Lytechinus pictus: one gene and its partner. The main gene of each other region encodes a partner of the protein of the gene in region 2 in a complex. Links are inferred from orthologs where the notes say so. Each region holds a gene or a part of one and is shown on either strand. Other genes may lie near its edges.

Region 1 (3,930 bases), on a different chromosome or scaffold from region 2:
AAACCCTTGAAACCAGCTGAATCCATATCAAAGAGAAAAATCAAAGAAACATATTGTTGAAAGTTTGAGGAAGATTGAATGAATAATAAGAAAGTTATGAGCATTTGAATGTCGAGATCACTAATGCCATGTAGATCCTCCTATTGGCAATGCGACCAAGATTTGTGATGTCACACACGTACAACTCCCTCATTACTTTAGTACTAATTTCACTTATATTCTCACTTTTATAGAGTCTATCACAAGGTGAGGTGTTCACTTTATGAGAGGACAAGTACAGAGGTTTCACAACATTATATCATTGATGAATCGTTTGTCATATGATTAGAATGAGCAAAAAGAGATGTTTTGGGGTATATTTTCAGTGTCCAAAAGGGGAGAGTTGTTCATCTGTGACATCATAGATCTTGGTCGCATTGCCAATGGGAGGATCTCCATAGCATTAGTGATCTCGACATTCAAATGCTCATAACTCTTTTATTGCTAGTCCTATTTTAATCAAACTTTTGTTGATCTTATTCTTTGATTTTTCTGCTTTCACAAAAGCTAACTTGCTTCAAGAGTTTCATTCTCCTTTAAAGCAGGACTAAAGCTTTGGTTAAGGGTAAAGAATTATACTCAAGTATCATTTGACATGCTACTGAGTACTAACACAAAATAGTTGTGACCATTGAATAATCTTTCAACTGTTAAAATAAAATTTTGAATTGTTTCATATCTAGGGCCATTTCTCAGACCTGATAATATTTTTGATTTTTCTTAAAAAAATGGCATATAGTGCAATCACCTTTATGCAAATAAACATTAAAAAAGAAATCATATCCTTGTATTTTCAACCTATTCCATGCTTGAGAAGTGGTTTTATACCAAAAGAAGAGGTGGTAAAAGAGTAAATATATGAACAAATATTGTAAAATAAAGAAATGCGTTTGATCATCACCACTACAATTATATTGGGAATTCAATTTCCACTTTGTCTTCTTCATTTTACACTTCGTCAGACGTGACCTGCCACCTCAAAACCAACAATTAGTTTATTAACATGAAACTTGAGATTTCTCTTGAGCTTCAAAAAGGACATCCATAGCCTATATATATAACTTGTCAAAATTGATTAAAAAATAACCCACACAAGGATCAATTGAATCCATGTAGAATGTATTCAGTGACAGCTTAAAAAAATAAGGAGAAAACAAGAAAACAAGGTTCGAATTTTGGGGTTCTCTCAAGCTTGAGATACAGGCCTAAGAAACTTTCAAGCAGTTCAGAAAAATTGATGTCAAAGAAAATCGTGTATATTGGCTTTTATTAATTTTACAACTTAAATTTAAACAGCATGAAGAAGGATAAATACTCTTTCAGATAAGCTAATTTCACTATTTAAGAACAAATTTGACCAGCCACCAAAAAACCATCAATAAGTTGCCCAACAAGTATTTTGAGATTTTCACATCCCAAGCTTTAAGATGATATATATCTTGTCAAAGCTAGTCAATAACCCATACAATTACTTGATTGGATGCAGAAGTACATGTAAGCGGCAGCTTAAAACAATAAGGGGAAAACAAGATTTTAATTTGGGGGTTCACTCAAGCATGAGATGTACACACTGAGCAATCTCAATGAAACATCCAAGTACTCTGAAAAAACTTGTGTCAAAATAACTCTTTCATCTTCTTTTCTATCAAACGCTTACACTTGAAATTTTAACAATATGATTATGAAGAAGAATTGCTCTTTCAGATAAGCTAATCAATTATTTGGTTTTTGAAGATCAAATTACTATTTTGGCTATTTACAGAGAACTGTTCCCTGGCGATTTATTGTTTTGGGGGTGGCTGGTCACAAACAATTACAGGGAACTTTCCCCGGTGACTTATTGTTGTTTTGGGGTTGGCGTAGATGTTACATGAAATGGGTAAAGCCTACGTATCTGGAAATTAGACAACATAGTGAATGGGCTAAATGGCAATTAGACCAGATGGTTAGAAGAAGAACTGATTGTAATTGAACTAGGGTTAAATCAAGCGAAAGGAGACAAAATGGATGTAGACAACATGGGTGGCGATTAACCAAGAAAACTAGAAACATACATACTACTACTAAAAAACTTACCCTGGGTCTAAAAGATTTGTTATTCGCTCTCTGACGAGCATCTTTCCTTGTGAAACATGTCGCGCTATACTCCTCTCTCCTCCACCCTGTGCAATCTGCGATACTGTAGATTTCAGTTGATTAACAAGTCCTTTCATCTGTTCATAGTTCTCCTGCAATGGCATGATAAACACATCCAAGTATTAGTGGTGCTAGCGAGGAGTTATAATTGTCTTCAAGACATTTGGGGGCAAATTAAAAGTGTTCAAATCATGTTTTTTTTAACATTCTTACACAAATAGAGCAAGAACTTCAAAATAGAGAGAAAAAATTAAATTAGAACTACGATGTTCAAAGTCATTGGGCAATTCACTGAACTCTTGTTATATCCACAATGCCTATACCTCCATCTATAGTTTGATGCTGATATATATATATTTTTTCTCATTCAGGAAAAGGAGCCCAAAAGCAATAAAAAGTGAAAAATAAATGAATCTATAACATATTCTTTGATTATCCCAATAAGGTATTTTTATACCTAAATAAGCCAAATATGACGAAAAATTATTCCATATATTCTTGGATTATCCCCAAAATGTATAAATAAGCTTATATAATGAAAAGTTTTCTATTCTCACCAGAATCGTATTTTCTCCCATTAAATTTCCATGTATGTACATGTTAGTCTAAAAATATATCTTTTAGAATTCAGAGTCAAGAAAGAAGAGATTATTCCTCATTTTCAATGTTGAAGAATAAGAAAGTCACAGCTAAAACAATGCCTTAAGCTGTTATATTATAACTCCTATCGAGGAACTTCTAATCTTTCAGTGCGAACTTGCGAAGTGTACAGCCCAGTCTCGTATTGCCTCAAAAAAGTCATTGACCCACAGGCCTCTCATGATTATGAACAGTGATACATAACAGACATAAAATGGTAAGAGTTAAAAGTATAAATGTAAAAAAAAACCACATGGTCTGTCTTTCAATTCACCTCAATGGTATTAAACTTTTGTAATGAATTTTGTTATTTCTCTCCAAGACGTGACACTGCTATGATTGTAACAAATCGCTATTCTGAACACTGGGTTCTCTCTTTCATATCTCTGTACATCCCCGCCCATCTTTACACAGAAAAACCAATCAGAATCACCATTACTTACAAGCGGGAGCCCCTCTAATCAATAGGAAGCCCAGAAAAACATAGGGGGGGGGGGGTTTCCTAAATACAGTAGCTGAGACTGCTCGTATATTAAGGTGTTTAATCAATCATAATCATATCTAGATGAAATAATTCTTTAAAAAATACCCTGTTCTTTGAAGAAAAAAAATTATTCTCATTCTCTCATTTTCATTGTTTTTTTTTTCTCTTGGTAATTTTATTCAATTTGAAAATGAAAGTAAGGAGGACTTTTATTTTTGTTAAAAAAGAGAAAATAAATAGAAGTTCTAAGGAACCATATAGAATCTGCATGCTGTATAAGATGATATAATAATTAGTAGTATTATACTAATTATTTATAATCACGTATTAAATTTTAGTATTTGTGAAATAATATTTTTTATCTATAAATTGTTGTTCAAAATGGCATCGCTAATCGGATGTATGTCATAACGAAGCGGTTCAAGGGTCAGGTCTATTGTATTTGCTTTGTTGACAAATGGATCGAGGGATCTACACGAGATCGGCAGCGGCGTAACAGGGGTCGGTGGCCAGGGGGGGGGGGGGGGCAAGAGCCAAAAATTTCCCTTTCATATCATGGTATGAACAGGCGTAATGGTGTAGTGAGACGACTATTTTGAGATGGCCAGATATTGCGTGTCGGGCAGAATTAA
Region 2 (3,930 bases):
TGTTACTGTCTTTCTTTTTTAATTTTCCTTCTTTTCTTTATCTTTCGTTCTTTCTGTCCTTTTAAAAAATATTTTTCTCCGTTTTTGTTTCTCTTTCTTTTTTTTCTTTCTTTTTTGATTTCTTTCTTTCTTTATTTCTTGAGTCCATCCATCCTATATTTATCTCTTCTTTCTTTCTTTCTTTCTATCTTTCCTTCCTTCCTTCTTTTTACCCTTTCGTTCCTTCATTCTTTGTTTCTTTTTTGTTCTTTCTTACTTACTTGGATTTACTTGGATGTAGAGACATAAAGCTGGAAGCTTATTTGTCCCTCGTCACGTAGGGTTGTCTCTGGTATGGTCAATATTTTAATGGATGGGATTTCCAGTGCCTCTCGATTGCAGATTTATTTGCATTTACACTACTTAGCAGAAACTGCTTCCTCAGGCAAAGCATTCCAGTTATTAATGGTTCTAGCTGTAAAAGCATATTGCAGTGTCTGTAATCTACATCAGTATTTCCTGAATTTCATACTATGACCTCTGGTCCTTTTATTATCATCAAGATGGAACAGGCTACTCAGATCTATCCGATCAATACCTCTTGTGATTTTGAAGATTTGAATTAATTCTGCTCTTTGCCTTCTGTATGAAAGAGTAGGGAGTCCCAAAATTCTCAATCTTTCAGGGTAATCTAAATGACGAATGCTGGGAAGTAGTCTCGTTGTATCTTTTCTAGTTGATCTTCATCTTTTTTCTAAGACTGGAGCCCAAGCAGGATTACAATGTTCTAGGGTAGGACTTGCAATAGCTTTGTAGAGTTTGAGCCAGCCCTTCTCATTTAGAGCCGTGAAGGATCTCTTAATTATGCCAAGCTTGGTATTGGCTCTTTTTGCAATATCAGCAGCATGTTCAACATTTCCATCCATCCTTTCTTTACCCTTTCTTGTTTCTTATTTCTTCCTTCTTTCAGCCTTCGATCTTTCTCTCATTCCTTCCTTTCTTCTTTGTCTTTTGTTCTTTCTTTCTTTGTTCCATCCATCCTTTTACCTTTTCTTTTTTTCTTTCTTATTTTTTTCTTTCTTTATTTCTTCCTTTCCTTCATTCTTTTAAGGGAGCAGCAGATAATCACAGGTTGAGGTTTCACTGCTAAGCTTATATAATATAAAGACAGTTGATTTGGAATAATGCGCTTAAAAATGTGGATTTTTTTTTCAAGGTCAGAGAACTTCATTAAAAAAGTCAATTAACCTACATGTATTTGAATCCTGCCTTATGACCGAATCTGAGTTAAAACAAGTATGTGCAAAAGCTCCCTATACCGTGGAAGGGGGGACACCCCCCCTTCCCCTTCCACCCCCCCTCGGGCTTGGTCGCTTCGCTCCCTCCCTCGCAGAGCTACCAAGTCTCACGCATTGTGCGTGAGACTCACGCATTCAGGGTCCGTCTCACGATCTCACGCATGGCACCCATTTTTCTCACGCATCGGGACCCGACAGTATGGACATGGTAGTAATATGGATCGATATCATGATGAAGCCTATAATCAATACTATATCTCGCGCACGCGCCTTTTCGAAACGTACAAGTGTAAGTACTGGTTGCGCGCGCGCAGAAACGCCGAGTCATGAAAATCTCACGCATAACATTTTTTTGAACTTGGCATCTCTGCCCTCACAATGTCTCACTCCAAACTCTTCTCAAAAGTTGGCAGCCCTGTTCTTGGCTGGTTGCCAGCCCAAGATCACTCACATGTATTTCGAGGTTAGTATTAGTATACTAATAGTATACCCAGTTGTTGTGTGTCCGGACGATCAATTTTAGAATATAATTATTAATAGAATTAGAAACTAAACTATTTGGAAAAATAAATACAAGCGAAGTTTCATCAATTTTTAATACAAAATCAAAAATGTTAGGAAATATTATAGAGAACAAATTAGAAGATTATTACTTCCATTGAATTCATATTTTTAGTGTAATCCAAAGACAAAAAAGAAGGCATCAAAAATATAATGTGTCCGGACATCCGACCCCCCATCCTAGTGAGTAATACTAATATAGAACTAGAAGAAGTTGAGAGCGCTAGCCTAACGTTAGGCTACACAAAATCATACATGTGGGTCTACATAAAAAATATAGCGAACTTGTAATACGTCATTAAATAAATTTTGCTTGAGTAAACCATCATAAAGACGGTGTAGTTATATCTGATTTTACCAATGCTTTTCAAAATAGGCAAACATACCTCGAATTCAGCTGCAATATCAGAGAAGAAGCCATTTTTAACGTTCTTTCCGAAAAATACGAACCAGCAAAAAAATTCACAACCTCGTATGTTAAATGTTACTATTTATTGATTTTCATGATGATCAGACTTCAAGATTTTTCACAAGAATACCTTTAAAATTATATAAAAATGAATTTAGTAAATTAAATTGATTTTTTTGTAATTTTATTTAAAAATGCGAGAAGCAACGACCCTTGGCCTTGACCGATTGGCAACGTTGTTACCAGCAACCATTATCAACATATCTGAAAGGTAAGCCCATTTCATCGCTTCATTTTCTCATTTATTAAGCTAAAAAAGCAATATTTTTATATTTTGTGAGATTTTTTCCGTGGAGTCAATCGTATACATATTGAGTGTGGCTATTTAAGATGTAATTATAAATTTAATGTATTGAAACACAACACGAAAATTAATGATCAGATTAGTTTATCAGACTAGTCACTAACGCCGGCGCAGTCCCATATGCTGTTAATTGTGTAGGCCTAGGTATGACTTTATTTTGGAGGTGTTTGTTGTATGGTAGTGGTCAGTGGATCGTATTACCGAACACTTTTCATGAATTCAATCATATCAAACACATTATTATCATAAAATTCACCAAACTTTCACCATAAATACACAATTACCTACAAAATATAAATATGTAAAAATTTTGCCGAAATCGTTAGTCCTTTTTACGATATTAGCTTCCAATCGGACCCCTCTTCGCATGTGAAATATTTTGGTCACATGAAAAGGTATCGTATTACCGAACATGTGTTTTCTATGGGAAAAGTTGAAAAAACAACAAAATCACTGATGAGCTATTTTGACCATATTTTTGTTATTTTTAGAATATTAAGACTTTGATAATGTGTTTTTTACAACTTTTCATCATCTTTCTATTTAAGTTCTCTTTGGAAGGATGTTGCCCCGGGATGTTGCAAAATTTTGAGCGAATAAAATTATTTTCTGATGCGTATGATGCGCGCGTTCGGTAATACAAGGCCGGTCGGTAATACAATCACTCACTATATAATTGTCATCTGTTCTTCTCTTCCTTTAAACTATCTTTTCTGCATTTCATTTCCTATTCCGAGTTACATTATTAATATTATGTTAACCCTGGCCTAAATAACCCCTAGTCCAAACCAAACTCCAGCAATAAATAAAATATAATTTGTCAGAAAAAAAAAACTATGACTATGAGGCCTAGGCTAGGCCTAGGGTGTCTGGAGAAAAAAATTATTTTTCTTATTTCAAGAAAATATCACATTTTCTTTGTGAATTCGAAGAGAAATGACCTTCAGACTGACAGAAATGTAACATTTTTGAAAAAAATCCAATTATTGGCTGCAAAAAAGAAGAATGAAATTAGGCCTAGGAGGTAAATTTTCAGCATTTCTCTGCCAAAGACTGTGTAGTTAAGAAATGGACACACACAAATCCAAATTTTTAGCTTCCGAGATCGAGAGCTGTTATAAATTTATTATTAATGCCAAAAACTTGTCCATAAAGAGTCCAATAGGATTTTTTATGCTCTATCTGATGGTATGATTTTTATAAAGATTTGGAAACCAGATCACAATGAAAAATTGCGACAAAGTGAAAAAAATTGTGCAAAACAGAAATTTCATTTTCCCATAGAAACGCATGGAGAAATGGCAATCTCAACACACACA

Evidence for each region.
Region 1: the proteins of methylcrotonoyl-CoA carboxylase subunit alpha, mitochondrial-like (region 2) and methylcrotonoyl-CoA carboxylase beta chain, mitochondrial-like are in contact, whole or in part, in a cryo-EM structure (PDB 8JXM), measured with the Homo sapiens proteins. The link is inferred for Lytechinus pictus from reciprocal best matches to the Homo sapiens genes MCCC1 and MCCC2. Residues at the interface, in NP_064551.3 of Homo sapiens: Glu519, Phe526, His531, Asp532, Phe534, Ser535, Pro536, Phe537, Ser538, Ser539, Ser540, Ser541, Gly542, Arg543, Arg544, Leu545, Asn546, Ile547, Tyr549, Thr550, Arg551, Tyr568, Tyr636, Leu637, Ser641, Glu644; in NP_071415.1 of Homo sapiens: Leu56, His57, Val60, Glu61, Lys64, Asp88, Ile91, Pro93, Gly94, Ser95, Pro96, Phe97, Leu98, Glu99, Gln102, Ile123, Gly124, Arg125, Gly128, Glu130, Arg234, Trp276, Leu278, His281, His282, His285, Lys298, Lys299, Leu300, Ile304.

What each region holds. Positions count from the first base shown.
Region 1 is NC_087247.1:31,535,925-31,539,854, forward strand, and holds the start of methylcrotonoyl-CoA carboxylase beta chain, mitochondrial-like, read right to left. Parts: upstream 2,280-3,930; coding exon 2,116-2,279; intron 1-2,115. UniProt on the Homo sapiens protein: Carboxyltransferase subunit of the 3-methylcrotonyl-CoA carboxylase, an enzyme that catalyzes the conversion of 3-methylcrotonyl-CoA to 3-methylglutaconyl-CoA, a critical step for leucine and isovaleric acid catabolism.
Region 2 is NC_087260.1:10,672,142-10,676,071, forward strand, and holds the start of methylcrotonoyl-CoA carboxylase subunit alpha, mitochondrial-like, read right to left. Parts: upstream 2,502-3,930; 5' UTR 2,260-2,501; coding exon 2,225-2,259; intron 1-2,224.